Struthio camelus: one gene and its partners. The protein of the gene in region 1 interacts with the protein of each later gene in a pairwise test. Links are inferred from orthologs where the notes say so. Each region holds a gene or a part of one and is shown on either strand. Other genes may lie near its edges.

The links.
Region 2: the proteins of PSMF1 (region 1) and KHDRBS3 interact in a two-hybrid assay, tested with the Homo sapiens proteins (2 studies listed by BioGRID and IntAct). The link is inferred for Struthio camelus from reciprocal best matches to the Homo sapiens genes PSMF1 and KHDRBS3.
Region 3: the proteins of PSMF1 (region 1) and FBXO7 interact in binary tests that used the Homo sapiens proteins (3 or more experiments, as listed by UniProt). The link is inferred for Struthio camelus from reciprocal best matches to the Homo sapiens genes PSMF1 and FBXO7.
Region 4: the proteins of PSMF1 (region 1) and BEND7 interact in a two-hybrid assay, tested with the Homo sapiens proteins (2 studies listed by BioGRID and IntAct). The two-hybrid records come from large-scale screens. The link is inferred for Struthio camelus from reciprocal best matches to the Homo sapiens genes PSMF1 and BEND7.

The regions. Positions count from the first base shown.
Region 1 is NC_090959.1:18,290,668-18,297,756, reverse strand, and holds the start of PSMF1 (proteasome inhibitor PI31 subunit), read left to right. Parts: upstream 1-3,856; 5' UTR 3,857-3,932; coding exon 3,933-4,061; intron 4,062-6,179; coding exon 6,180-6,332; intron 6,333-6,982; coding exon 6,983-7,065; intron 7,066-7,089. UniProt on the Homo sapiens protein: Plays an important role in control of proteasome function. Inhibits the hydrolysis of protein and peptide substrates by the 20S proteasome. Also inhibits the activation of the proteasome by the proteasome regulatory proteins PA700 and PA28.
Region 2 is NC_090943.1:165,592,752-165,600,768, forward strand, and holds the start of KHDRBS3 (KH domain-containing, RNA-binding, signal transduction-associated protein 3), read left to right. Parts: upstream 1-4,935; 5' UTR 4,936-5,333; coding exon 5,334-5,421; intron 5,422-8,017. UniProt on the Homo sapiens protein: RNA-binding protein that plays a role in the regulation of alternative splicing and influences mRNA splice site selection and exon inclusion. Binds preferentially to the 5'-[AU]UAAA-3' motif in vitro.
Region 3 is NC_090942.1:61,036,920-61,044,755, reverse strand, and holds the start of FBXO7 (F-box only protein 7), read left to right. Parts: upstream 1-4,800; 5' UTR 4,801-5,114; coding exon 5,115-5,278; intron 5,279-5,881; coding exon 5,882-6,182; intron 6,183-7,836. UniProt on the Homo sapiens protein: Substrate recognition component of a SCF (SKP1-CUL1-F-box protein) E3 ubiquitin-protein ligase complex which mediates the ubiquitination and subsequent proteasomal degradation of target proteins and plays a role in several biological processes such as cell cycle, cell proliferation, or maintenance of chromosome stability.
Region 4 is NC_090942.1:7,978,893-7,986,607, forward strand, and holds the start of BEND7 (BEN domain-containing protein 7), read right to left. Parts: upstream 3,205-7,715; 5' UTR 2,967-3,204; coding exon 2,906-2,966; intron 1-2,905.

The DNA of each region.
Region 1 (7,089 bases):
AGCTTGCATGGTGCATTTTCAGTTCTGTGATAAGATGGGCCAGGATTGAGGATCAGCTTTCTGGAGGAAAGACTCATGATTTCCGCCTCAGGAGAGGACACTCGAACGAAGCCACCAGGAGTCGGGGGGGGGGCGGGGGGCATCTGGTACACCACTCGGCACACAGGGGAAGGCTGTGCCTGAAAAGAGAAATGTGGATGCCATTAAAGCCTGCAAACCACCACTGCTGCCCATCAGAAATGAGCCACGGGATGGGCGGACGGAAATTCTGCCTGTTGTGAATCACGAGCCCAGTACTGGAAAGGCTCCGGCTCAGGCATTTCCTGCCATTATCATTGAACCCTGATCAGATGCTTCTTTTACTAAGCAGACATCTCCGTAGGCTACATTGCCCAAGCCACCCCACGGGAGGGCTTTCGCCCTGTCCAACGCGCGGGGGAGCCCCGAGTCCCCCGCCAGCCCTGCGCCCAGTGAGACCTGCTCCACCTCGCTGGCATCTCTGCGGCTATTTGCACCGGCCCTGGCTCTGCACCTATCCAAGTGCTGTCTGGGTGCCCATCTCCCATTGAGGCCACCGAGGTCTCGGGACAGGTTGCCCTCCGTCCCCTCGTCGCACCAGCGATCCTGACCCAGCGGTTTCCCAAGCGGAGCGGGAGCCTCCCGGCATCGCCTCCTTCCTGCCGCACCTTCCCCGGCAGCGGTGCCCGGCGAGGGGCTGCGGGGCTGACGGCCGTGCCACGTCCCCAGGCTGTACGCAGCCTACTGCTGCGGGACTCCCGCCCACCTTCCCACCCAAGAAACACGGCATGTTGGCCACGCTCCGCTGCCTGCTTACACACGAGCAAAGAAGCTACCAGGAAGGTCTGGAGTCCTGCACACATGCGATGAAACCCGGGCCCTGTTGAAATCAGTGGCAACTTTCCTACTGATTTCCACACGAGCAGAATTTCACACTTGGCTCCCAAGCCCTGTCCCTCTTCCGCGGAGCCAGCACTGACGGGTGAGATTAGCAAGAGGTGTAATGTTTCCGCAGCCACCGGGGAGATGACTCATGTGAAGGGCAACGCTCAAGGAGCTCCTTGCGAGGAAGGCCCTACGGTCTGCGGTCAATTGTTCTGCTTCAATGACTTCTTGAGAGGGAAATGGAAAGAGTGGCCTGTGCGTTAATTAATAAATGCATAATGAAGTCAAGATGAGTCAGAGCATCCCAAAGGAGTTGGAGCTCAGCTGCTGCTCAGCAGCAGATCACGGCTTTCCCCAGCACTGGGCTGCTTCATCCAAGGGATTGCTCCAGCCTCACATCCTGCCACTGGCATCGATAGGGTCCCAGCAGTGGTGGCAGCTCCTGGCCTCATGCTGGGCAGAGGAGCCACAGAGAAAACCGCCTCGGATCCACAATCAGTTCAGAAAAAATAAGTCCCTGACTACGTTTCAATGGCAACTTTAACAAGAACTGAAGTGTTGTAAATAACGTGGCCCAGAGAGAGGAGCTGGGGAAGGAATGGAAATAACCCTGGTAATAGCAGTTCAGCCTTTTGTTCCCCCCGGGACAGGTGCCTCAGGGAAGCCGGAGCAAACACCAAATATAAGAGGGCATTTGAATGCATACGGCACTATTCTTTTGTCTTTTTCTTAACTTTCCAGCAAATGCTTTGGTCACGGGCTGACGCTTGGTTAGGAAGAGCCTGGGCTGCAGGAAAGCACGGGGAAGCAGGCAGATCTCAACCAAGCGAGACTCCCAGGCGCACGGCTGGAACGCGAGGCCGCTTTGGAGACCCCGCGACCACGCTGCACAGCCAAGCTGGGGTGATGGCACGGGGAAATTACTGAGCGAGCCCTTCCACATACGCAGTCTCCAGATCCGCAGCCACAAGGGAGCAAGTGTGCACGCAGATGAGTCCCACACATACAGATTTTTCTTGTACATGAAGAAGTACTAAATGTCTCAGAATAAAAAAACAAGCCTTGTGATGTCAAAGAGGGAACGCATCAGCCCCGGGCTGCAGATAACCCCAATTCACTGGAGCGGAAGGACTGGAGCTGCATCGCCGGTCATATCCTGGCAGGTCACTAGAAAACCTGATGCGGCAGCAATATTATATTCTTCCCTGCGTTGCAGGTGGAACACGATGTCCCTCCCAGCCCCGGCAGATACGGCCCGCCCTGCCCTCGGCTGGGTGGTTACATTTTCTTTCAAGAAACTCTTTGGTTCCCCTTTAACGCTCCGAGGAGACGAGGGAAAACAGGTCAATCCTGCACAGCAGAAACCAGTGGCAAGGAAAGGCGCCGAGAAAAATAAATCGTATCAAACGATGTGCCGCCGGCGGAGCTACCGAGGGAGGACGTCGGAGCAGCCCCGCGGAGCGGCAGGTAAAGGATGCCGAAGGGGTTTCTGCGCCAACGGGCAGGTAGCAAGAGAGACGTGGGGGACGGACGGGAGTTATCAGACGGGCCCCGCGGCGAGGCTCTGGCAGGGATCCGCGCGCTGCCGGCCCCGCGGCGGCCACGGCAGGAAGCCCCACGTAACGCCCGGTTGGGAAACCGGCCCCGACGCGGGCCGCCCCGGGGACGGGACGGGACGGGACGGGGGGAGCCCGGCCCCTCGGGGGGCAGCAGGCTCCCCAGCGCTGCCGACGGCCGGAGCCACCCGAGGTTTTGCGCGAGGGACGAGGGCCCTCTAGCGAGTGCGCGTCTCCCCGCCGGAGCGACGGCTGCTCCCGGGGGGCCCCGAAAGGCTGTGCCGAGGCCGGGGCGCCCCGAGCTCCCCGCAGGCGCCCGTGCGGGGCTCCATCCGGGGGCTGCCCCCCCCCCCACCCGCACTGGGGAGCTTCTGTGGCCCCCGCCCCAACGCCGGGACCTGGCTGGGGGGGGGGGGCTGCCGGCTGCCCCCCCCCAACTGCGGGGGGCCAGGCCACGGGCTGGGCACCCACAGTCCAGCCCCAAAGCCTGGCCCCACACCTGACCCGGGAGCCCACAGCCTGGCCCCAAAACTGAGCCCAACCCCACACCCCAGCTCAGCCCTACAGCATAGCCCCACAAGTAAGCCTAGACCCCACAGCCCAGCCTGGCCCCCCCGGCCCAGCTCGGCCCCACAGCCCAGCCTGGCCCTACAGTCCAGCCCCCCAGCCCAGCCCAGCCCCTCGGCCCAGCTCAGCCCCATAGCCAAGCCTGGCCCAGCCTGGCCGCACAGCCCAGCCTAGCCCCATAGCGCAGCCTGGCCCCACAGCCCAGCCTCCTGGCCCAGCTCAGCCCCACAGCCCAGCCTGGCCCCACAGCCCAGCCCCACAGCCCAGCCCAGCCCAGCCCCATGGCCAAACTCAGCCCCACAGCCCCGGCCTGGCCCCACAGCCCAGCCCCCTGGCCCAGCCCAGCCCCATGGCCAAACTCAGCCCCACAGCCCCGGCCTGGCCCCACAGCCCAGCCCCCTGGCCCAGCCCAGCCCCATGGCCAAACTCAGCCCCACAGCCCCGGCCTGGCCCCACAGCCCAGCCCCCTGGCCCAGCTCAGCCCCATGGCCAAACTCAGCCCCATAGCCCAGCCCCCTGGCCCAGCCCGGCCCCCCAGGCCCAGCCCCTAGGCCTCGTCCGGCCCCATAGTGTAGCCCAGCCCGGCCCCCCAGCCCGGCCCCTCGGCCCCGCCTGGCCCCATAGCGCAGCGCAGCCCGGCCCCCCAGGCCCGGGCCCCCGCCCCCGTCTGACCCCATAGCGCAGCCCGGCCCCTCGGCCCCGTCCGGGCCCACAGCGCAGCGCAGCGCAGCCCGGCCCCTCGGCCCCGCCTGGCCCCATAGCGCGGCCCGGCCCGGCCCCTCGGCCCCGCCTGGCCCCATAGCGCGGCCCGGCCCGGCCCCCCGGGCTCCCCGCTGCTGGCCCCGCCCCGCCCGGCCGGGCCGGTCGCTGCCGCGGGCCCGGCGGCTGCTGGCTGCGGGCGGCGCCATGGCCGGGCTGGAGCCGCTCTACGCCTGGGCGCGGGCCGCCATCTCCCGCCCGCAGGACGCGCTGCTCTGCGGCATCCACTGGGAGCTGGTGCGGCACGGCTACCGCTGCCTCGGCGCCGGCGACCAGGTACCGCCCGGCCCGGCCCGGCCCGGCCCGGCCCGGCCGCCGCGCAGGCCCCGCCGGCCCCGGCCTTTCCCAGCGCCGCTCGCCGCCGCCGCGCCCGGGGCCTGCCGGGGCCTGCGCCGCCCTGCGCGGCCGCGGGCCGTCCGGGGGGGGGGTCCCGCTGGTCCGGGGGGGGGTCCCGCTGGTCCGGGGGGGGGCCTAGTGCTGGAGGGGGGGCCCGGTGTGGGGAGAGACCCGATCCTCGAGGGACCCGGTGCTGGGGGGGATCTCGGTGATCGGGGGGGGGTTGGACCCGGTGCTGGGGGGGATCTCGGTGCTCGGGGGGGGGGGTCCCGGTGCTGGGGGGGGGGTTGGACCCGGTGCTGGGGGGGATCTCGGTGCTCGGGGGGGGGGTCCCGGTGCTGGGGGGGGGGGTTGGACCCGGTGCTGGTGGGGATCTCGGTGCTCAGGGGGGGTCCCGGTGCTAGGGGGGGGGGTTGGACCCGGTGCTGGGGGGGGGTCCCGGTGCTGGGGGGGGTTGGACCCGGTGCTGGGGGGGATCTCGGTGCTCGGGGGCGGGGGGGTCCCGGTGCTCGGGGGGGGGGTCCCGGTGCTGGGGGGGGGTTGGACCCGGTGCTGGGGGGGGGTCTCGGTGCTCGGGGGGGGGGTCTCGGTGCTGGGGGGGGTTGGACCCGGTGCTGGGGGGGATCTCGGTGCTCGGGGGGGGGGTCCCGGTGCTGGGGGGGGTTGGACCCGGTGCTGGGGGGGATCTCGGTGCTCGGGGGGGGGGTCCCAGTGCTGTGGGGGGGTTGGACCCGGTGCTGGGGGGGATCTCGGTGCTCGGGGGGGGTCTCGGTGCTGGGGGGGGGGTTGGACCCGGTGCTGGGGGGGATCTCGGTGCTCCGGGGGAGGGTCCCGGTGTTAGGGGGGGAGGGGGTGGACCCGGTGCTGGGGGGGGGGGGTCCCGGTGCTGGGGGGGGGTTGGACCCGGTGCTGGGGGGGATCTCGGTGCTCGAGGGGGGGGGTCCCGGTGCCGGGGAGGGTTGGACCTGGTGCTGGCGGGGATCTCGGTGCTCCGCAGGGGGGGTCCCGGTGCTCGGGGGGGCATCCCGGTGGTCCGAGGTGGGGGTCCCAGTGCTGGAGGGAGGGCCCGGTGTGGAGAGAGACCCGATGCTCCCGGGTCCCGATGCTCCCGGGCGGGGGGGTCTAGGTGTTGGGGGAGGGCCCGGTGTTCGTAGGGTCCCGGTGCTGCGGGGGGATCCCGGTGATCGGAGGGACCCAGTGCTGAAGGGGGGGCTCTAGTGCTGGGGGGAGTCCTGGTGTGCAGAGAGACCCAGTGCTGGGGGGATCCTGGTGCTGGGGGAGTCCCCACGCTCGGGAGGTGCTCGAGGGTCCTGGTGCTCGGGGGGGATCCCAGTGCTTGGGGGGTCCCCATGCTCGGGAGGAGCTCCTGGTGCTGGGGGGGGTCCTGGTGCTGGGGGGGGGTCCCGGTGTGCAGAGAGACCTGGTGCTCGAGGGTCCTGGTGCTCGGGGTGGAGGGGTCTCCAGTGCTGGAGGTTCCTGGTGCTGGGGGGGAGGTCCTGGTGCTGGGGGGGTCCCAGTGCAGTGCTCCCAAGAGGAGTCTGCAGTGCGGTGGGGTCTCTGGGTTGGGGGGCTGGTGTGGTGCTGGGAGGGGGGGGTCCAAGCCCCTGACTGGTGCGGGACTGGGGATAGGCAGTGGTTGGGGTGCAGGGTGCTGTCCCAGCCAAGAAACACCTGGGTGCTGGGGAGGGGGCAGCCCGCAGCAATGCCCCCCGGCAGTGACCGCCCTGGGGCTGGCACAAACGGGGCAACAGTTCCCTGGGCAGCTCTGTCCCACGCTGGGGGGGGCCGAGAGGTGTTGGTCAGCGAAGAACATCGTCCCCTCCTCTGCGTCTTCCTAGCTGGCAAAGGGTGGTTGTGTCCCTCCCGTTGCAGCCCAGGGGTCCCGTGGGGCAGTTGGGCCCTGCTCCTGCTGTCGAACTCTGGAAGGCAGGGACAGATCCCTGCAGGAGATGTGGATCTCCTCCCAGATCTCTCCACACAGCCAGGACAAGTTTTCTTGGCCCTGCAGCAATTTGGTCTGGTGGTCAGGGTCTCAGCAGCCTATCTGTCTTCCTGTAGCCAGGTCCCGATGAAAGGAAGTCAGAATTGCTGCCAACCGGCTGGCAGGCCAACAAGGAGCTGTACACACTGCGGTACAAGTCCACGGATGATTCCCGTGAGCTGCTGCTGAAGGCGATCATGGTGGAAGACAGCATGATCCTCAATGTCATGGTGAGCATCAGGGCTGGTCCTTGCCGGCATTGTGGCCCTCCAGGTGCAGCGGTCACGTTCATCCAAAATGCCCTGGGTGCAAAGAACAGCAGGGCCCATTTTTAAAATGTTTTGCTTCTACTTGTTAGACCTTGAAGCAGCATTTGTTCCTCATTTGTCCCGACTGTGGAGTTTGCATGGGGCAGACTCTGGCTGTAAAGCAATAAGTTATAGCCTGCAAACCTGCCCGTGCGGTAGCACATGTGACTGCATCAGCACAGGGAGGCGGTTTGCTTTGCACGCTCTGGCCCAGTAGCTGCCCCTTTTGTGTCCCTTTATCAGGTCAGGATGTATTTCTAGATCGTTTGCCCTGTCCCCACTGAGCATCTGCCCAGGGATTCTTTGCCTTGTGCCATGGCCCCAGGCTGCACCACAGGATTTCTGTCTTTGACCCTTTACGGCCCAGACTGGGGTAGCCAGTAGGGAGAGCCTGGCTGGCACTGGAGTTTGTGCGCTCTGGGGAATTCAGGCACTGCACAGTGATGTGGGCAGAAAGCAGGCGAGCCCCGTTGCTTGTGCATCCCGAGACCTTGCCTGCGGTCACACCTGCTCCCTCCTTCATTCCTGGTTCTGCCTTGCTGCTGACTCCATGTTTCGCCTGTCCTTTGCAGGACCGCAGCTCTCAGAAGGTGGCAGATGTGACCTTGACGGTGGCCGATTACATCAACCCAGAGCACCTGGATGATTTCCACAAGTAATCTCCATCCCTAGCATTTTA
Region 2 (8,017 bases), on another chromosome or scaffold:
TTGCCCTTTTTGAAGACTGGCGTGACATTGGCTTTCTTCCAGTCCTCAGGCACCTCTCCTGATCTCCAGGACCTTTCCAAGATGATGGAGAGTGGCCTAGCGATAACATCCGCCAGCTCCCTCAGCACTCGTGGGTGCATCCCATCGGGGCCCATGGATTTATGGATGTCAGTTTGGAAATACCAGAAGAACTCCTAGGAATTAGTTGTTGTTAATGTTATTCTAGTATACTGAAACTACAAAAAGGGCTGTGGCAAAATCCTAATGACAACAGGCAAAAGATACAAGAAAGATGCAATCTAAAACTCAGTCACAGTTAATAGAAAACTGTTTGTAAGTGATTCATGTTGGTTGCATCTAAGAAGAGAGAAGTAGCAAACTCTCTCCAGAGTTAGTGGTTAAAGCAATTAAAAAAATTTCTTCCTATAAGAGCTGAAAATCATAATGAAGATGATGACTAAGACTGGCAGAAATCTAGAGTAATTGGGAAGGGAAGAAAGAACATGATACTGGCATCACAGTTTGGATGATATCACGGATGATGTTTTTCACAACATGAAAAACTGTCATTTACTTATTCTACTGTAGTAGTTTAGATCTGCCACAGCAACACACTATAGGTTGATACTTAATAGGCAGAAGCTAGAGTAGCTCTTGAATAATATGAAGTTATGCTTATTAGAAAGGAGCTGTGGATACTATGAATTTTGTTTTTTTCGTTACTGATAGAGCCGCACAGGAACAGTTGAAACTCACGAGAAAACGTTGTGGAACAATCTTGATAAACCTTTGCCTTCTTCAGCACTGACTTTATAATGTGATATACAAAAGCACAACTTAAAAGAAGCATATGATCCTCACAAAAAAAAAAAAACAAAAAAAAACAAGCAACCAATCAACAACTTGCTTGGCATATCTTCTGCACAATACCATGGAAAAAGGTGCAAAAGAAGTGGAAGACTTGGATGAACAGGTGCATGTGACACTATGGCATGTTACAGTGGCTATAAATAAGGTGGCAATGAGTTTAAGTGTCTGAAAGAATGTTCTTTTTTCTACCTGTATTAGCCTAATACATGATATTTTCTTCCTGCAAACCTTGTTCTCTCAGAAATAAATATTTCTCTTAGAAATACATTTAAAGAAATAAAAAAAAATAAATTTAAAGAAAGGGTGAATGAAATATGAAAGCAATGTAAGAAATCTTTTAAAAGAAATGGCATCAGCATGGCTGCTACTGGAACAATATTCATTTGGGGATGAAAATAGCCTTAACTTTGAACTATGGGGCAAATGCTTGTAAAAGAAAAAGCCATGCTATTTGGAAGAAAGCATCAGGAGCTTCTGAAAAAGGATGCCTGGACATAACGGAAAACTCTTGACTATTTCTTCATACTTTAACACACGTGCAAATAAAAAAAAAAAGAAAAAAAGAAAAAGGTCAGGAATAACAGCGAAAGAAGAGCAATGATAATTTCAATATGCCTAATAGAAATTGGCAAGTGATATATTGGAATACTAAGGAAGCCAGCATCTACTTAGCAACATGCTAATCAGAACTATGGTGAGTCACATCAAGGACACATTCACTAGATGTGGTATTTGTGACAAACTCTTTCCCAAAATAGACTCGGCTTCTATAGGTCTTCAGCTGTATGCATTTTAATGAGCCAAAGTCTCAGATAAATAACTGTTCTGTTTCTCTTATAGTCTTTAAATTGAGACCAAGTAAATCGGAGGTAAAAAAACACAATAAACCCCTGCAGAGTCTAAATGGTCAGTGGCAGCTCGGTATGATCAATGAACACAGGCCACAGCAAATAAAAGCGTGAGCTGAGAGTAAGTTTGGAAAAACAATACTTAGGTGTAGTTACAGTATTAGGAACAAAGACTTTATGACTAAATACTGCTTATAATGCTGCCCCAGCAAATAAGGAAAATAGAATTGCCAAAAGTTATGGAGAACCTCCTACCTACCAGAGGGAAGGTGCAGCTCAGTTACAGCCTCTTCAAGCAGTCTTCAGCTGTCCCCTTACTTGTGTCAACCGGTCCAGGAAGTAAGGAGGTTAAATCTCACCCCAGAGAGTGAAGGTATGAAAAGGTCTTAAAACTTCTATTAAATATTAAATGTTTCTAAATATTAAATAATTAAATAATTCCAAATGTTAATTTTGGTCCTGGTGCTTTAAGAGAAGTAATGGACATTACAACTCACAGTGGTTCCTAACTGATATCTACCTACTGAAATAAATTCCTGAAAATAGCATGTGTGTATTAGCAACAGAGTGCACGTGTGCGTAAAAAACAACAAACTAGTTTATTGCTAGGGAGTAAGTCATGAGTTTTGAAAGTTTGGACTCATGGCTCTTAAAATTGTGTTACTAGTAAAGCTACTATTTACTGGGCAGTTCCTTGATCAAGCAACTTTTTCAAGTTTTGTATAGATTTCGCTAACAAGAAAGCAACCAATCCTTAAAGAGTTGGTGCTTCCTGCTTTTCCTGGACAGCAACGACGATGCTTAGTGGACTTTTCCCAGATCACCACACCATAGGCAGCTTTCTACAGCCTGTTGCTCACAATTTCCCATTTTTTCTGTTCATTTCTTGTTTTATTATATCCCAGTGAATTTCAATGGAGAAAATACTCTACTAGTTAAGTGCAGGCATGGGTTTGAGCAATAGGATATAACGTCCATAACTTTGTAATTGCTACATTATTATATATCTGGTGAGAAATGAGTCTTCCAGACTTCCAGTAAGCCTTTCTATATCTATACTTTCTATATAAATCAGAGGGAACTGGTATACTTTGGGAAGAAATACTGTGGTTTCTTGAAACAGCAAATGTTTATTCAATCAGTTACCAGGGAGAATAAATCTTTTTGCAAGAAAGGTGCATTATGTTTTATACCATATAATATAGCTACCTTTCTGATTGAGTTCCTGTATGCTGTAGAGGGACTTTAAATACCTTTTTAGCTTTACTGGTGAAGGTAGGGATTATTTTCCTCCAGGTCACTCAATAAAGATTAGCCTCCTACACATTGTTCTGTGGTAAAGTTGTATGTGTCTGACTTTTTCACAACAGATGGCTGCATTTCAGTAGTTGTGTATAAGCTGTATAAGGAAGGATGAAATAAAACCTGCATTGTAATCCAACTTTTCCCAGTAGCTTGTTTTATTCATATCCTCAAGTTTGATGTCACGCAGGAGAACTTAAAAAAATGTAAATTTGTTTGTGGTTATTAGTGCTGGGACAGATATATTTGGAGGGGTTGTATATGGAATGTAAATCAATTATTTCATATTGCAACATAACAGATATTGTTTTATATTTTTTATCTTTCTGTTTTATGGGTAAAAGACCGCATGCAGTTCTGGGAAGGGAGCCTTAACTTTGCTTGTTAAGTTCTGAGTGAGTGATTTCTCATGCCAGTCTTTTTTCAGAGCTTTTCTCCTCCCCATCTTGCATGGATGTAACTGAGATATATTGAAAACTTTTTTGGCATTAAGTATAATAATAAATATGACATTATTTTATTACCACAAGTTAAGAATCTTTTTAGTGGTCTTTTAACTGTACCTCATCACTGGAGAGTTCCCTATTGATTTCTCCAATAAACGTTGATTAAAAACGTTACTCTAGCCTTACGATTTTGGCTTTAGCGCTTTACTAATTTTCTGTCTCTCCCTCGGGCTTTTGTCACCAAGGGTTCATTGATGAAACTCCTGAGGTCAAATAAGGAAGCTGTGCAAAGCCTCGAAGCTAAAGCTGAACGTGAGTAATGATCTAATATACTAAGTGTATCCTCTGAAAAATATCTAGGAAAAAAAAAACGCTTGAGCACAATCCCGAGCTTTGCTTCTCCTACCTGTAAAACGGGCTGTTTGCAGCCAGCGTGGCGGCAGCGGAGAGGGCGCGGGCGGGGGAGCGGGTTTCACACCCAGCAGGGCTCGCGGGAAACGGCAGCTCCTCCAGCTCCATCAGGTTGCCACTTCGCAAACCCGCTTCGCGGTGGTCATAACTGAGCAGAAATAAGATTATTTGGCTCATACTTATGAAGTGCTTTATACTACCAGAGAGGAAAGGACAAAATACTGGCTCAATAGTGATTTCGGGGGGGGGGGGGGGGAGAGTTAAAACAGGCTGTTGTTTCTCCTTTGGGAACAAATCTTCCCCCCGGGGCCTCCCCCCCCCCCCCCCGGTAGGTGGTACGGGGGCACAGCCCGGCCGCGGCCTTGCTGCCCCAGCTCGGGGGGCGGCCCGGAGGGGGGGGGGGGGGGAGAAGGCACAAGGTCCCCGCCGCTTTGTCCCTTCGCCTCGTTGCTCACCCGCAGACGGCGGCGGACGAGCGCCCACAGACGCCGAAACGAGTTCGCCGTTATCAGGTTGCATGTTTTATTCATCGGCGGCGCGCGGTTTTAACGGACGCTGCGGGAGGGGCACAGCGCCGGCCCTTCTCTCGGGGGAAGAGGGGGGAAGGAGATGAGCGGCTGAGAGGGTCATGAAAGCGCGCAGCTTTAATGAGAGAGCCCTGCCCTGCGGTCGGCCCGTCCTCGCTGCGTCCCCTCAGGGCACCGCCGCCCCGGCCGCTGCTCGTGAGGCGACGCCGCTCGCAGCCCGCGCGGCGCGACCGCCCCCCCTTCCCCCAACACCCGCGGGGGGGGGGGGAGAGCGAAGCGCACCCACCAATCCCAATCTGCGGTGGGCCGCTGACTGACAACCCAAATCACCCAATAGGAGGCGCCGGCTGAGTAGGCGGGGCCATTAGCGAAGGAGGCTGGGCCAGCACCACCCATTGGGAGGGGCTGGAGGGCGGGGGCAGTGGGGCAGGGGAGGGGGCGGGGCTTAACAGGCAGGAGGGCGGGGCTGAAGGGCGGCAAGGGGGCGGGGCTTGTCCTGGGGTATATAAACCTGGCGCCGAGGGGTTCGCCCGTTCAGTCGGCGCGGCGCCGCGGTGTGAGCGGTTTGTCGGCTGGCTGCTTTTTTTTTTTTTTTTTTTCCCCCCCCTCGTTCTTCCCCTTTTTCTTCTGAGCGCGCGTGTGAGGGGGAGGAGGGGCTGAGCGGCTTTCGGGGCCCCGTTGTGCCTCCGCGGAGGGATTTACCCGCGGCCGGAGCGAAGGGGGAGGAGGGTTGGAGGTGGGGGGCGTCCCCCGGCCTGCGCCCCCATCGCCTGCCCGCTCTGGGCCGGGGGCTGGCGGCGCTTCCCTCTGGCTGCGTCCCCGCCGCGGCGGGCGGGAGGCGGCCGGGGGGGAGCGTTGCCTCGAAGGATTTATCGCCGCTTGGGACCCGGCCCCGCGTCGCTGCCGGCTGCCCCGTTGGGTTCGCCGCCATGGACGAGAAGTACCTGCCCGAGCTGATGGCGGAGAAGGACTCCCTCGACCCGTCCTTCACCCACGCGCTGCGCCTCGTCAGCCAAGGTGAGCGCGGGGGAGGGGGGGGCGCCCGCCCTTCGCCTCCCCTCCCCCCCGCCGCCCCTCAGGGGGCCGCGCGCGGGCTGCGCCCCGCTCCCCCCCCCCCCCACGCGCGGAGCCTCCGCGGAGCCGCTCGCCCTCGGGCAGGGGTTTTGGAGCGGCGGAGTGCGGGGCTTAGTGGCGGCGGTTCGCTTTGTACCACCTGGCTCTCTTCCCCCCTCCTCCCCCCCCCCGCTTTGTTTTTTCTTCTTTTTCACTTTTTTCTTTCTTTTTTTTTTTTTTTTGCGGGGCGCTGGCGCCGCGCGAGGGGCAGCGCATCTCGCGTGACCCGGAGCGTTGCCTTTATGGAGGGAGGAGGCTTCGCGGGCTGCTGCTCCGGCAGAAGGAGCACCTCGCCCCTGCCCGCCCGCCTGCAAGCGGTGGGAAATGTAGCACTGAAGCCTCCCGCATCTCCAGCCTTCCCGTGCTGCTTGAAAGGTTGCTTTTACGCTAGCAAACGCGTGGTTTTCACTGAAACTGTCCCAAATTGGGTGGTTGCATGTGGAGAATTGCTTTAGTCCTCTGCACTAGGCTATTCATTCTCCCACCCTGCTCCATTTTCTCCTATTCATAAGACTTTTCCCCTCCCTAAAATGTTTCTGGGTAGATCGATATTGTTTGTAAGCAATAGATTATTGTTTCTATATGCCTCAATATTTTTTTTTTTGAAAGGAGTTTGCAGACTAAGCCTTTTCCTAGAAACTTGTGACCCTAATATATTAAGGAATCAAAACCACATCTTGCTGAATCTTTTCAATACCTAACACATGTTTGCTTTGCGATTATAAAACTTCATATATTCAGAAATGATTTCTCTGCATCCCCCCCAAGATATTTCACTTTGAAACGTTTGATGTATCGTTTCACTGAAGTACTAGCTCTTTGTTTAAATGACACTTTACTGGATATAAAACTCGTTTCCTGTGATTCACGTGATGTGGCTTAATGTAAATTTGGTGCATTGTATGGAAGACAGGTGACTTTGGAATGCAAGTCTTCTATGAAATCAAACACTTGAGACACTTTGGAACAGTCAAATAAAACAAGTTATGAACTGATCCTGTAACTTAAAATGACAGCCCCGATGACTCTGGCTTCTATTACTTGGAGTGATTGCAAAGCTGCGCTAGTGAACTTTACTTCATAATAGCTTAGAGCTGTTCCAGTTGTGCGATTTCTTTGCCTTGATTGACATAGCTTTTTGTGTAATGGACTACAAAATGTCAATCTCAATCTGAGGGAGAGTCGACTGTTTTCTGAAATATTCTGTGTTTGCAGGTAGCTGTCAGTTTTAGCTGTGAAATGCATGTGCCTGGTGGTCTGTAGCTGCATGTCCTTGGACTTGGTATTCTGCATATTTTTCCCTAACTTACCAGTCTTAAGCAATGGATTGGTTTTAAAAAAAAAAAGAAAACCCATTGTTCATACTGGCATTTTTGACAGAGTGGCACTATTGATAGTGTTGGAGGGGAAGTATTAGCAAGTAGTTTTGTGTTGTGTGCTGTAAATAAACTTGTTTAACATTTTTAGCTTGATGGCTGAGATTTTTATGGTTATAAATTAGTGAAGTTCCTCCGCAAATAGTGAAGGAAGGATTATTTTAGATTTCTGTGTGTGTAAATTATTTTAAGGAAGTTACAAAAGCATGTGAATTCTTATTTTACAGTTAGTCTTTATGAAAGAGTATGCATGATTGTACATCTAATGTTTCTTGGGACTCTGATAGCTTTTTGGAGTACATTGAAACAAGTGATATTAGAGGGCAGAAATATAAAACTTCTGGCTTTTTCTAAAATCATGTAATACTTGGTGTCTTAATGTATACTTTCAGCTCCAAAAATAAGTGGTGCATTCAGTGAAAAAAATATAGACAAATACATGGATGCAACCTTGTTGTTCTAGTGTCTGGATTTTTTGCTTGCTTTGAAAGTGCAGTCTTATGTTAAGATCTGATTTGAGTATTACAGCTATTAGGGACAAGTAACTAAAAGTAAAGCTCAGTAGTCTGTTACCTGTAGTATACAATGCAGATTTGTGTAGTCCTTGTGTATAACTGTGTTAGACAGTTGTGCAGTCACCAGGGAGCCAAATGAGGTGAGACATCTGTATAATAAAGTAGGAAATGTAACACTTAAAAAAACCCCGTGTTTTACAAACCCATCTCATTCCATCATGACACTAACTTTAGAAGTGTCTGGTTCATTATTTTGCTGTAATTGTAAGTAACTATTATTAGGAATGCAACTGTAACTACTGACTTGTACTTTTTAAGTCGGATCCCCCCCCCCCCCCAAGTGTTCTCTCCCCTTTCTAGAGTAGTTCATATGAAATGACTGGTATAATATTTTTAAGTTAAAGTTGCGTTAATTTTTCAGTTTAGAATGGAATGGGTGTTTTTTTCAATTTTGTCTTCACCCAGGTATTTGTGCGAATGTCTTTACAACAGGTTTTAAGTGCTTAAAATAACCAGCTTAATTATGTAATAGTTTTTTGACTTCTGGCTGTCTTAATAGTATTACACTTATTGTTTACATTTACTTTAACTGAAATACTGTAGGTAAGC
Region 3 (7,836 bases), on another chromosome or scaffold:
CAACCCATCTATCAGAACTGTGATGTCTCACCATGAACTTTGGATTGCGGCATCTTCAGTTCCATCTGAAGGAAGAGTCATAGAAATGCACACAATTGCGAGACCCTCTGCAGAAACAGGAGAAGCCCTGGGAGCGGGTCTCGCTACTGAGTCCAAACAAGGTACGTCAGAAGTGTTTGTAGGCACAGGAAAGAGAACAGGGCTGTCAATGGCCGCGCTGCCTACTCCTACTATGAAAAAGTAGACTGCAATCTCTGAATAAATCCAGGAAAATATGGTGGTGGCCAAAAAAGGCCTGAAGCAGTATGAAAAGGCCCAGAAAACCCACTGAAAGGTCCCTTGCTCCCATTTGAACAAGTACTTTCATGAGAAGTAGATTAAAGCAGTCAAGAGCTATGTGAACAAGATCCACAGACTGCATAAGGGCCCTATGTAGGCCGCTGATCTGAGATGCTTGTAAAGCACACCTCCACCAAATGTGTTAGTTATAGACCAATAGCATGAAGGGCTTTAAAATGCCTTTTAGGAGTGAAGTTGTCCACTATCAAGCTGCGAGAAGCTAAGAGGTCCTTTCCACTGGCTTTGATTTGAATGTCCTCCAGTGGCACGCTCAAAATGGTACTTCAGACTATCGCACTTCTGTGACATGAGATCACAAATTTCCCGACAATGCTCCAGTCTCCAGCCCCTTCTCTTGCTCATTTTACCACTTCTCAGTGTGACCCTAGTCACTCAAAATATCAGTATCAAAAGAGTTAATATACATACACATATATGTACTTAATATATATGTATTATAAAACAAGATCTTTACAGTGGCAAATACAGAAAGAAAAACAATGGAAAAAATCCACTGGCTCACAGCCTTATTACTGTACTCAGCTTTCAGAAAAAAAATATGTTCCATGAGGTAAGTAATTGAACCAAAAGGACCTTTACTTTTTATAGTTTTACCCTGCCATGGGAAGTTGACTGCAGGTCAACAGGACTACAGCTGTATCAGGTTTCAAATTTCTCAAGTAAAACCTTAACATTATTGCTAACGGTGCAGTTTTACCACTTAGGTGGAAGGGGTTCTATTGCCTGTGTTTTATACTGACCATGTGAAAAAAAACCCTGAGTAAAAAATGTTGAGTTGAGGAAACATATTATACTTAACAACCATTTTGTGTTACTTCAAGTTGCATACGAATGCTGAAAATAACTTTCTTTTTCTATCACATTGTTTTTTTAGTCTAATTTGTTAAAGAAGAATATACAATCATCATATCTGACACTGGCATACCATGCTGAAAGTCAAAATTCTGCATACAACCATTTCTTCAAGCTTGTAAGAACACAAGTTCCTTGTGCTACCTTGGTACAATGACTTTCCTAGCCTGAGGTCAAGCTCATACTTGGCCATACTCTCTCTTGCCTACAGAAAGAGACAAAACTCAAAAAGGTGGAGAAAATAACACCAACTATCAGCTCTTTCAGATAGATGTGGGAGGAAAAAGAAAGCAGTACTTCTGACTCCCTCAAACTGTAATTTTTGGTTTAGCTTAAATTATTTTTTTATTTCAGTCAACTTGAAATCAATCCCAATCAAAAGCCTTTTTGTGGCCTTTTGAGGCTGCGAGGAGGAGTCTGAAACATTGTCAATAGTTTCACTCCATCAGTCAAACCTCAGAAGCAGAGATTGGCAGGTTGTACTTGCACCTTGATGATGGTGGTTCTAGGTCAGCTGAATTTGGCACAGACAAACATTAAAGCTGTACAGCATGTTTTAGGCTTTTACCATAATTGTTTCTTAGGAGATTTTCCTGTTTAATACTGCTGTGTGAAGAGTAGGTCTGAACCTTGCATTGTGGCATGACTCATGAAATTCAAAAAAACATTTAGCAAAATGCCAGCAAAAGTGCTCACTTGCAAATGGTGTAGCTGGTTACCTAATAATGAATAGCATGGCCGGAGCCTGAGGAATTGAACCTTCTTACTTCACACAACTACCTTAGCTTGTGCAAGCTACTTAAATGGTGCTTCTGCTGGAAACATCGCAACGGTACTCATCAACGTTTCTCAGACTAGGGGAGTCCCCTCCTCCCTTCCTAAAGGAGAACGTGGACTGAGCAGCCCTGGGGCCAATGGGAACGCAGGAGGTGGCTGGGACAGAGACAACGCTAAAGAGCAAAACACAGCAGGAGGCCTGTGGCCACTGGGAAGCTGTCCCACTGTTCAGGCACCAGCATGACTCATTTTGGATGCAGCCCTCTCCAAGAGAGAGGAATGCAGTTTCTGGCAGGCATGGTGCTCTTGACTGCTCCCCAAATATTCTCTTCATTTCTATCTTCTTTGTCCCTGCCTTTGCCACTTCCTTCTAGTCACACACCCCTCTGCCACAGCAACCCACCCTTCCGGCATCTGTCCACAGTGTGGCCCCATTTGATGACTATTGCATAAGTAGTTCTCAAATTGGGGCTGTCATAAAAGGGTCAGTAAGCCCCTCATGAAACAACTTGTTTTAATGTTCTCATTAAAGGACCAGGTGTGCAAGACAAGGTTGAGCACAAGCACCAGTTCTTTCATTGTTGACTGAATGGTATTTTTCCATTTCCGTAAAGTGCCTTTGTCATTCCTTTTGTCTTCTTCTTCCATACGCCCTCTCCTTTCCCCTGAGAAGTTTAAGATATTGAAAACAGATGATGGTTGCCCAAATATGCCCATAGGTGTATTTGACACCAAACTCTGAAGTGAAATGCAACAGCCACATTTACCTCAGTTGAATGACCATGTTCAGATGACAGAAGAACTAGCCTGAGATTTCAACCATAGCCCAGAACAGGTTTTGTGAAGTTTCATTCTCCTGTTTGCACCTGTCCCCAGAAGGACTAAAACAAGAGAGAGAGGCCTTTCCTATGAATACTGGAGATATGCAATGTAAATAGCACCAGAATAAGCAGCTGTACTTGGTGGCAGCTGTACAGACTGTTTCAAATTCACTTCACCTAGCACTACTCTTTTATTATACTCCTACAGAGTATTCTAGGCTTGCTATACCTCATTCATATTTTCCTCTCTCCATGTAAGGAACGTATCTTCATAAATGGATGCCCTGTTTCTGCTCTCAACAGGCCTAAGATTTCTTCGTGTTCATAACTGCATCTGAAGGGAAAAAACAAAAAACAAAACCACCAAAAAACAAGATAACTTTTGTACACAGATTATCTCTGAACTCACACTGAAGGGATTTGTTCTCCTTAAAGGATTAATATAAGTCATTAAACAAAGTAAACAACTTGAATAATCTGTGCCCACCTTTTACATTTTTCCTACCAGACTTTCTGAAAAAAGTATTTTTTTAGATAAAAGCAGAAGTTTATTTTTTACATCTAAGGCGTGGAGGGAGGCCTTTTTTGAGTAGCACTGACTATGAAAGTAGAATAGAACATTAGAAAAGTTTGCTGTACTTTGTATTTTTGCTAAGGACATAGCAACATTTGACTACAGGTCTAATACATTACCTCTACGATGACAGTTCACCAGTGTACCTTGGGGGGAGGGGGGGAAGAGTCATACTCAGTGCCCTCCCTCAGCCTTTCCCCTAGATCATCTGTTTCCATGAGCTTTGCCTGCACAGAGTTTAATACCCAAACAGGAACAGGCTCCTTAATACCTTTTTAGAATGATATCTAAAAGGGCCTCAAAATTGGAGGCGAGGCAAAACCGAACTACTCAGCACACAGGCAGGCAACCAATCTGCAGAAATCATTCCCGTTACTCCTTCCAGGCGGGGAAGGGGATAACCTTGGAATAACAACAGAGAAGCAACCCAAAACAACAGTACCACCAGAGGTCCCCTCACCTCCCCCCCCCCCCCGAAGGCGGAAAAAAGAGAGGAGGAAGGGCGGGTACATCCGCGTCGGCGCATGCGCAGCAGGCACAGCCCGAGCGCCCAATCACCGATGGCGTCGCGCAGGCACAGCGTGGAAGCCTGAGGCATCGATCGGCCGCGCTGCTCTTGGGTGCGCGATTGCGGGGGGGGGGGGGGAGGGGCGGCGCAACTCGGGCCCGCCGGGGCGGGGCGGCTCCGCGCTGGGGCGGCGCCGCGCCAACCAAAACAACGACACGCCCCGGCAGCCCTTGCGCCCGCTGCCACCATCACCGCCGCCCGGCGGGGCCAGCTCGGAGCGCCAGGCGGGCGCGGAGACCCGCCGCCGCCATCATCATGAAGCTTCGCGTCCGCCTGCAGAAGCGGACGGCGCCGCTGGAGGTGCAGGGGGCGGAGCCAACGCTGGGGGAGCTGCGCGCGCAGCTGCGCCAGGCCGTGCTGCCCGCCTGGGGGTACAGGTAACGTGCGGAGCGAACCATCGCCGAAGGGAGGGGAAGGGAAGGGAAGGGGGGGGCTGGCGGGGCCGTACCACGCGGCGCGGGGGGAGGGGGGAAGAGAGAGGGAGGGGAAGGGCCCCGGCGAGCGGCGGCGCTGCTGCCCCCTGTGGGCGGCGGGAGCGGGACGCCGGGCCGGGCCGGGCGGCGGGACCGGCCGGTGCTGCGTAACCGGCTCCGTCGCGAGTGCCGGGTTTGGGAGGGCTGTGTGGGGAGACCCCGCTGGGCCTCGCTAGGGCAGGAGCCGGCGGGGGAGGGCGGCGCAGCGGCGTCGCCTGAACGTTGCCGGGGGGTGGGGGGGCGTGAGGTTAAAGGCCTGCAGCTCCGGGGGTTTTAGTCACTTCGCGAGACCGTGTCGAAGGCTGCTAAAGCTCACAGAGCACTTGGTAAAAGTCACTGCCCTCCTTCGGGCACACCTTCCAGCTGCGTTTTCCCCGGGTAGCACAGGGCTGGTAGGGCTGGTAGGTCACGGAAACTTCAGTTACGTTTCGGTTGCCGAGCGTTAACGGTCGCTCCGGCACGCGCAGCGCGCTTCGGCCCGTGCCCGCCCTTGAAACGCGGGGCGCAGCTCGGCCGGAGCTGGCTTGTATTGCTCGGTGGCGCTGATGTTACAAAGAGTTGCGGCTGGATGTCTGTTTTACAGTTTTGTGGCTTTCTTAGAGGCTCTCTGGGTTTAGACTTCATAAAAGGTTTTTTACGTGTGAAGAACTCATGACAACGTTTATAGGAGGATAAAACCTGTTAAGGTAATGGAAGAGCTGCCTACAGAAGAAACTCCTTTTCTAGTAGCGTGGAAACAGTTTGTAGTCACAAATCTGTCACCGGGTATGAGGATGAAACTCATGTTTCATTGGCAGTACGTACATTCGATGGCACTGCACTGTACAGCATACCACCGTAGGCTGGAGTTATTGTACGTCCTGCCGTGCTGGGTATATTTTTGTAGTTGGTACTTGATAACGGTTTTCATGCTAACCACGTTCATGTTTATTTTATTTTTTTGTAATTGCTTGCGCTGAAGCAGCTTTTCTTACTGCCCACATCTGTAATTGCCATGCTGGAGGGCAGCTGCTGACCTTTTGAAGCAAATGTTTTGTTAATCGGAAAGCAAGGTGATTTGAATCTGCAATAGTGTCCTGTTTTTAAGTGATCTGAGTCAGTGGTTTATTTAACACTTGTTTTATTAGGTTGAATATGTTTAATTTGGAAGGCACCTGTTTGCTTTCCTTCATATCTGTTTTATGAGCGGTTATTGCAGATGAAGTTATACCCACTAAGCAACTTCAGTTATTTAAAACACGCTTGGAGAGAAAAATGAGGGAATCACTTCATAGCATAACCCTTAGTTTTTCCCTGCTCTTCCTTTAAGTGTATAGCTAATTTTTAATGGATTAAAACCTGTGGAACAGTACTTAAGCAGTATGCAATATACATTTCTAATTCTACATTTCAATACCTGTGTTCAGTTACCCAGATGCAGCTAACCACACTTTATTTCTTTTCCATTACTTTCCAGTTATGACGCGCAGTTTTCAATAACACTGAACAACAAGGATGCTCTCACAGAAGACCAGAAGACCTTGGCTTCATATGGGATTGTTTCTGGTGATTTGATATGTTTATTACTAGAAGAAGCAGATGCAAAACCCAGCCTACCTCCTCCCTCATCTTCTACTCCTCCGCCACTCCAGAATGGTCATGAACCGTCCGCCTTGATCCCCAACAAAAGTCAGGCCAGCAGCCCAAAAGAAGAAAGGCAGAATGGGCTACCTGACAGCCAGAAGGCTCAGGCAGAAGTTCAAAAAAGTGATGATATGGTAAGTCTGAGAATTTGACCTGTACGACACAGGACAAGAAAGGAGGTATCTTACTGTGTCGGTTGCTGTACTTCATAGTAGAGAACCTTTTCAGAATATTTGATTCTTAATGTTTGCCTGAAGTATAGGTGGTTGGTTGGCTGTAAATTTGTCTCTCTTTTTTTTTTTTTTAGCTATGCCATAGAAGTTAATTCAGCAGCTCTGAGATGTTTCAGATTTGACACTTTTACAGGACTGTATGTTTTTGCTGGAACATGCACTTTTCTTAAGGAAGTTAGGAATATGTCTCTTGCCTACCTCAGTGCTGTCTTCTTGAGAAAACTGATTCTAGATACCAAATAAGTACAGCCTGTCTGAAATTCCACTCACTAGATAAGTGCATGATTCCTTTCTAATAGTTATTACAGTTCCCTGTGAGTCAGGGGCCTATCGTAGAGCAAGAGACCTGTCTGGTTCTGCATGAAGTTTGGGTTGCTGAAATAGCTCCCACCTCATGCTTCACAGATATACATCTGTGTGACCCCGCGTTCCTGGTGCAGCTGAAAGGCACATCTTTTGGATGCTTTGTTAAGATTTTTCCTGTTTGACAACAGACACAGTAGTTAAGCAGATAATAGCTCTTACCAACTACTGGAAGGAGTTAGTCTAGGAAGGAGTCTTTCTAGAGGAGACTCTGTGGGTACAGCCTAGTGCCATGGCGTATCTTGGTACAGGATCCTGTCCTTTTAGGGAGGAGCTTGCGACTCTGAGAAGTTGTTTTCCTGCATTCTTTGGAAGCAAGTAGTTCTGTGTTTTGGAACTAATTTCATATACAAAATATCCCTTAGTACAACCTTTATATGAGGAATTTTGATATGTATACTTTTAAAAATACTCTTTTGAAGTATGAAAATAAAATATAAAGTGAAAAGAATTGTCAGTCGTGAAAGAGAACGTAGTGGGACCATCGTCCTCTTCATTCCTATCAGGAGAAATAGCCCTCACATGGTGCTGTAGGCAGGCAAGCTGCTTGTGTCTGCCAATTGGACCATATTAAACTGTGCAGGAATTTGTTGTGCGTTTATCTAATTATTTGGAGGCAAGATGAAAAATTCTCAGGTTTTATTCCAAAATTGTGATGAAAGATAGCAGAAAAATTTCCAAGCAACTAAGTGGTATTTAAAAAAAAAAACCCTCTAGAAATCTGAAAAACTGTGTTGGGGCTACGTGCAATGCTGATAATGAGAGAAGGGAAGTTCCACAGATGGTTGGCTACACCGGCCTCATACAGACATGAGGGTGCATTGTGCCATTGAGGGTGGATGTGAGGGAGAAGTAGCTACAGCTCCTTTAGCTTCTTCCTCCCTTTCCTGCCCCTTCCTTCAGGTAGATCCGCCCATGGTTTTAATTTGCTAGGGTTTTTTGTTTTTTTTTTAGTGTGGGTCTAAGTAGTTTAATGGGAACGTGTAACAATAGAGTAAATTACGTAATAATATGATGTGATTTTTGGTAGAAGAAAGGAAGCCATAATAAAGTCACCATCGTCTTCAAGTCTCAGTAAATACTCTTTTGATTTTTTTTTTCCAGCTATTTAAATCTATTCTGTTCATAAGGAATCTGAGTTACAATTTTTGGTACTTGCCACGCGTGTTGGCTCAGCTTAAATAAATGGTGG
Region 4 (7,715 bases), on another chromosome or scaffold:
ATCAGCTGCAGAATTGTAGAGGTCTCCTGGCAGTCCAACTTTTTGGGTACGTATTATTTATTTGTACGGCATGACTGTCTCGTTGATATAAGAGTGGGGAGGAAGAACAGCCCAAGAAGAAAACCAGAGTCAAGTATAACGCAGCAACGCAAAAGAAATAAAAGGGCCTGGAAAGCAACATCGTTGTGTATGGAAAAAAAAAAGGGGGGGGGGGAAGGTAGAGAGGTCAGCAACGAGGGGCTAGCCCAAAAGATAAAGTTGGGGCTTCAGTGCTGCATGGAGCACAGAGGGCAAGTGAAATCCATAGGCTGCCCGGTGCAGAAAGGGCCAAGGTGAAGGTTGAGACACAACATCAAGAAAGTATAAGCCCCTTTTGTAAGACTAAAAATTACAGAATTTATGCACACCACATTGAATGATCGCTAGCTTTTCTCTACCTTTTCATCCTCAGTAAGGACTTCCAAGATCTGGTAGAAGTGAGTATGTGGAAGCTAGGTACTAAACGACTAACAGATTCTCGGTGCTTAGATGCATTGCTTATGTGTGGTTTCTTCTCTAACATTTCCCTCTGTATATCCAGCAGGTCACAACACCCTTATTTTCTGATCTGTAACTGCTATCTTAAAGTCACCCCATTTCATCCCAGAGTTAGCTACATTTTACTGAAGCAATGGATTTCCTTTGTATATCGTAGTTAAAATAATTTCACCGTGTTGATAAGGTGTCATGAAGTTTTGGGGGACAGAACAAGCACTGTATTCACACACATCAGTAGCAGACCGTGTGTTACAAATAAACAAACCCAGCATACTGTTTTCTCTTTGGTTTCCCTCTTCTGCCTCAGATGTCACAGTCCAGGGGCTGTGAAATCCATCTCAATTTCACAACAGTAAACACTAAACTGTGACATTACTAAATGACTCCAGCAAGAGGCAAAGGCCAATTACAAGCAACAACTATTTATACATAATTATCTTTATAATCAACCACGGCAGGAAAAAAACTATGCAAGAGCAGACTCTGCTAAAATGTCATTTTTATCTTCTCCATTCTCAAAGTACAAAACCCACATTTGCTCTCCAGGATTTGCTTTTGGTCTGCTTTTCTATTTAAATTTCTACAGCCAAATAGAAACCCCAGAAAAATATAAATTACTAATAATTTACTAACACAATTCCAACCAATTTCCCTTTTATAACAAGGTAACTATACCGTTACAAGTGGCAACGGAGCACTTGCAAAATACCAATACATTTTTCAGAGCGCACGCTGTTCTTATTACAGTCCGATCATGACGAAAACAAAACCAAATCTTCAATTTCACTTTTGCTTTTCCACACATTTCCCCCTGCTCCAGCCCAACGCTGCACAAAGTCTGCATTGAAGGTGATTCAGGAGAACATCTGATGCAAAAAAAAACCCAAAACAAACAAGCAAGCAAACAAACAAATAAGAAAAAAACGAAAAAAAAAATAAAAAACACCCTCCAAACCAAACCTATTATTTTTAGGAATGTAACCCCCCCCCCCCCCAATAGGTTTGTCAACATTTGTGCTTATAAGCACTCCAGTAGATTTGGGACGTGTCTGACCAGTTGCTATCCCTCTAGTTTCTAAGAAGTAACGCATGCAGTGCTCAAGACTCTCCTACAATGTTAAAATAATAATTTGTCATTCCCATCAAGCGAGTTTATTTTCGTCTTTCGAATTCTCCGCGTCTCACGCGAGCTTGCCGAACACCTAAGGAAGAAATCGCTCCTCGGCCAGCAAGTATCGAAACTCGCCTCCTTCCCCCCCCCCTTTTATAAGTGTGACATGACACCAAAGTAGTCACCTGCCTTGAACTTGGCATGCAGGACACACACAGCATTTCATGGGAGATATTTCAGCTCAATACTTTAAAAGACAAAAGGGGGGGGAGGGAGGGAAAAGATCTTCAGGCAAATCAATGAGGGCAAAAGACCTAAGCGATAAATACCTAACCTCCCCCCCCCCGAAAAAAAAAGGGGGGGGGGGAAAAGGAAAACCCTAGGGCTGGGAAGTCCACCTGCTAAAATGACTACCAGCCGCTGCCTCTTTTAAAAGGACACGACTGAGAGGGCTGCGCGTCCTCCCCGACATGAATCCCAACCTTTCCTTAGCGATCCCCGCTAAAACATCCTCTTCTCGCCCAGCCGCCGCGCACCGAGCGAACAAGTTGCACGCCAGCAAACCTTCCTCGCCCACGGACAATTAATTAGCCGCGTGGATTTTAATAAAGCCACCCCGATTAGGCTCTTCTTTGAGATAGGCGTGCGGACGCAGTCCAGAGGAGGGTGGGAGAGAGAGAGGGGGGGGGAAAAAAAAGGAAAAGAAAAATCAACAGACACACACACACACGCGCAAGAAATCCACAGGAGTTGAATACTAAAAAGGTCCGTCGCTGCTCAAGTGTCATTATTTTGCTGTTTTCTTCATTTCGCCTTTCTCTTCTCCCTCTCCTCTCCCCCCCCGCCTCCTCCTCCCCCCGGAGGATTTATAATGAAATACGATCCAACTTTATTTGTATAAGATCTCCCGGGGGGGGGGGTAGGAAAAAAAAAAAAAAAACCACCACGTCCACCTTTGGGGTTGCGGTTAAAAAAAAAAATCACCAAAAAAAAAAAAAAAGAAAGGCAAGGTTTTGGGGAGTTCAACCCCGCGATTCGGGAGTTAAATAATAAATAAACGGAGGGAGAGAGAGACATTGCCGAGGGAGAGGGAAGGGAGCACGCACATTTCATAACATCCTGCTCTTCCCCTCCGAAACCCAGCGCCGTTCAGGTTAAAAAAAAAAAAATATAAAAAGTCTTTTTCAGCCACAAACAAACAAAACAAAGGCTCCGCCGCGGGCCCCCCGGCGCTCGTCCCCGAAGCCGCCACTTTACCTTGATTTATCAGTTTAAAGCTTTGGGATTTCCTGCTTCTCTTCCTCTCCGTAAACTCCATGGTGCGGGCAGGAGGGAGGAGGCAGAAAGGAAGGAGAGCGGGGATGAGGAGGGCGAGGGGCGGCCGCGCAGCCCGTCACCCAGCGGCGGCGGCAGCAGGACCAAGGTCCGTCTCTTTAATCAGCAAAAAACAAAACGGGCGCCGGGAGATGTCGGTTCCAGCCGCACGCACCGGCGGGGGGGGGGGGGGGGAAGAGCTCGGGACGAGTCGGCGGCGGCGCCGCCGCTGCCTCCCCGCGGCTCCGGCCGCCCGCCCGCCCGCCCAGGCCGCCCCTGAACTTCGCGGGGTGCCGCGGCGGGGGCGATGCCGGCCAGCGCCGCCGCCGCCGCCGCCTCCCCCGCCGCCGCCGGGCGCGCGGCCGGCGGCCAAGGGCGGCCCGCAATGGCTCACCGCTGCCGCCGGGACCCCGGTGCCACCTGCTGGGGGAAGGCGGCGCGCCCCGCGGCGGGCTCCGCCAGCCCGGCCGCAAGGCCGCCACCCCACGCCACGCCACGCCACGCCGAGGAGGAGACAGCGGCGGCGAGCGCCGCGGGGCCCCCCCCCGCCGGCGAGCAGGGCAGGGCGGGCGGCCCCGCGGCGCCTCCGCGGGGGTGGCGGAGGGTGACTGGCGGGAGAGGGGCTGCCAGGGCAGCGCCATTTTGTGTCCCCCCCCCCTCCCGCCGCCGCTGCCGCCGCCGCCGCCTCCCCGCCCTCACAGGCTCCCTCTGCCGTGCCCCGCCGCCGCGGCTGCAGGTCGCCTGCCCGCCCCGCGGGGCCCCCTCGGGCCGGCGGAGGCCGCCGCGGCGCCCTGCCGCGAAGCAGCGGCGGCCTCTCGGCGCGCGGCCTGCGCCGCCGCCCGGCCCCCGCGGCCTGGCCAGGCGGCGGCGGCGGCGGCTCCCGCCGGCTCCCCGCTGCGCCCCGGCCTCCCGCACGGGCCGCTTCGGGCGGGCAGAGCCGGAGCCGGAGTCGGAGCCGCGCAAGTTGGCGGCGCAAACCGAGCGCGCCCGGGGAGGGGGCTAAGCGGCGGCGAAATGAACGCCGGTGACGGCGTTTCGGCGTCGTCGTTCGAGCTCGGTGCCGGCTGACGTGGCCTGGCACGGTCTCTCGTGGGGACCTGGAGCGGACCCCGACCCCGGCCGGGGCTCGCGGGGCGGCTCTCCTCCCGGGGGCAGCTTTCACACAAGGCGGTTAAACACCGACCTAAAGCGGGGAGTCTCTGCTGACCGAGTAACGTTTAGTACCTCTGGCCACCGTCTAGGAGGTCCACCGTGGCCGTACAGACGCCCGTAAGCGGTTTGAAGTTAGTGCTTTACTTTACTCCCCGCTTGGCACCTTCAGCTGTATTTCAGATTCACTTATTTCACTTACGTTGGTGCTAAATTTGTTTCTGTTGTAGGTTCTCTACAGCCAGCAGCGCCTATGGCCGTTGCTGCTAGAGGAAGGCTCCGGATAACCTAAAGCTCAGGTGCAAACATAACTTTGTGTTTTAAACATAGTCAGGCTGGGCTATGACAAGGAGAAGAGTGTGGGATATCCGCACGCGCTTACTTGAACAGAAGTTAAGTGCGTATTTGTACATGGTCTAATCAAAGCCCATAGGAAAATGCCGCTGGCTTTGGTATTACTGCCTGAGCCCATCGCTAGGAATAAGGAAATAAAATTCGTAAGTAGAAAATAAATTGCCTATTAACAGTAATTATTTGTATCAATATAGACTCCAGTCAGACCTGAATTCTCTTGGGCGAGGTGGTGCCCAAACACCCAGCAGAAAGTAGACCCGGTTCCAAAAAAGCAACCAGGAAATAGGCTTAATGGTGAAGCGATCTCAGAAAACATGCCTAATGGTAAAATTTATTAGACCCAGGAAAATTAAATTCATAAGGGAGGTTATGGAAACCTCATAGATTGGGTAAGGGTGTAATTTTCTATTAAATTGCTGAGTGGAAAATCCCAGAGGCAATCAATACGCTACTTTTGGAATTTTTCTAAACTTCACTGTAAGACTTTTATAAGGAAACTGGGCTAACATACTATTTAAAATCCTACATTATATATTTTTGGGTGGTTGCTGAAGCAGCAAAGGTAGGTAGATGTCATACACTGTTTGCTAAATTATTTGGGTCCAGTTAATCTCTGCTATGATACAGAGAAGTCAGGTCTGAAATGCAACAGTAGCGTGCATTAGTTTTGTGTACAAAAAAAAGTATTTACATTTTTTTGCCAAAGAGTCTGCTGATTCTAATCTGCTAATTTTATTTACGAGACTTGAAACTGCTGAAACTGTTGTGTTTAACTGTCATCCTTATTGGGACAATAGGATAATTTTATAAAGCATAAGGCCTTCATTTACTGTTCAATTCACATGATAGGCTTTATCCTGCATTTGCCAAAGAAATGTGCTACAAAAATAAAAAAATCTTTTCTGTTTTCCTCCTGTTATTTGATTTTGTAAAACATTTTGGGATATAATTTATGAAAAAAAAAAAAAGTGAGGCCAGTGTTTCATTAACTGCTCTCTTCTTTCTCTTAGTTCTTCCTTCCTAGTCGTATATTTTTTGCTTAAAGGGACACTCATGGTTTGAGAATGGCATTTCAGGCTGAAAACAGTACATACTGTCGTTTCAAGAAACATTTTACAAGGGTTAGCACATCCTTTTTTTATCAGTATCGCTCATTTTGCTTCTTGTGCATTTGACAAAAGAGAGAGATTCACTCTTTTCATTCTATAGGATGAGCCTGATCCTGCAAAGAAAACTTAGTGTGGTAGCTCAGATGAGTAAATCCTGTGATTTTCATTTCTGACAGTATTTGCCAGTTTGGATACCTAGGCCCTGATCCTGTAATCTCATCTGCATAAAAGTGAATTAGAAACTAGGACAAGGTGACTTTAGGTCAAAGTCTTCTAGTTATCCATAGAGCATGTAGGAGGATCTGGCAGCTGAAAAACAACCTTTCCATCCTGAACTGCTAATGTTTTTCAGCCATGACTTAGAAAAAGTACTTCAAGAATTCAAAGGTTCATATAGTCCCCAGAGACAGTAAGTTGCGAGCCTCTTTTTGGGGGTGCGTTGGGGTTAGTGTCCTACAACTGGACTCATATCATCTGCTCGTTTATCACAGGCCACCATCACATTATTCTAGCTGGAGACCCAGAGATAAAAGTCGTCTTTATTCCATTAGAATGGCTGCCTTGTTTCATCCTGCATATTCAATAGCTACGTCTCCGTGGCAGCCAAATGACTTATGATAAAGTACACTGGCTCCAAAGGGCAGTCAGCTTTTAATTTCGTCTTTTATTTCAGTTAATGTCTCAATATTGGATTGTTATTATTATTATATATTAAGAAACGACAGTTCCTTTTTTTTTTTTCTGATGGAAACATGGAAAATTCACAGCATTTTGTATATATTCATGAATAGCCACAAAGTATTCCCTCAATGAAAACATTAATTAAATAATGTGTTTTTCAAAACACCATGAAATTAACTAACTAAATGGACGCCTTATCTTGCAATATATTCCAAGTCTGCATGATTATCCCTGACTATTTTCTAGTTACTGTTTTATTATGTCATAAGTTACTTTGAAAATCATTTCCCCCCTGCTTCTAACCAACATTAATTTCTCAGATAATTTTCTGGTGTGTAAAATGCTTAGTTTATTTCAGGTGCTAGATCAGTAGCTAAACAATTAAATATAATTAATCTAGTAATACAAGCAAATTACAAGTATTAATGAGAACAGTGCTCTTCACATCAGGAAGTCTCAGACTCCTTTTCTTTGCTCCCAGGCTTATCCTCAAAATGGCTGGGTTGAGTTAGTTACAATATTTTAATTGTTATTAGGAAGGTAGGATAGTGTAGGACAAACAAGAGGGACGAATCCTAGAGCTGAGAAGAATGGTATGGGGGAATTATGAACTTCTTCAGCTTTCAATTGGAAAAACTGTACTTAAAGAAGTCTTACAAACTTCGTGATTTCAGGTATTAGGTCTAATACGTCAAGGAATCCACGTGAGGTTAGGAGAAGCAAGAAGGGGCTACCAACTGTCATATTAATAGCTCTAGGATTACTACTCATTTTGGAGGTTGAAGGAGTTCTGTGTGGTATTAGAAAGCAGGAGAAGGGTGAAGGGGTAAAGGAGAGATCAAGAGTTGCATAGGTGATGGGTTAATATGTTAGCTATTTCGGCTAGTTATGTTTAATGAATGTAGCTGAGGGTTTTATAAGCTGTGGTAACAATTTTTTCTCTTGTAGGTTTCCCATGGTGTTTTTGTGGTCACACAAAATACATAGGCAGTACCTTTTGTCGGCTCCCAATTTGATGATAGGTCACTTTGATGCCATACTGTCTTACTGCAAACTTTCCTTTTCGTAGAGCTTTCATGCTGACATATCTGGGGACTGGCTCATTACAGAGGTAGGGTTCTGGGCGTTACGAAGTAGTCTGAAGCTTAGACGTGCAGTTTAACTTGTTTTCTGGTCTTCCTTAAGTTCTTCCTTGAGTCCTTCCATTCCAGTCACAGCACTTGACACCCTGTTACACCTCTATCCTTTCTTTCTTTTTCCTTTGGGAAACTTGAAATGGCCTCTTCCGCCTGTTCTGCTGGTTTGTTAACCTTCCTCATATAAACTGAAAAGAAAAAGCTACAGGATGGATCAATGTTTTCATCTGTTTTCCAGCTCAGGGTTACTCATCAAAACTTCCCATAGCTGTTTCAACAATAAAGAATATAACTAAATCTATGCACAACGTGTTCTTTGTATAT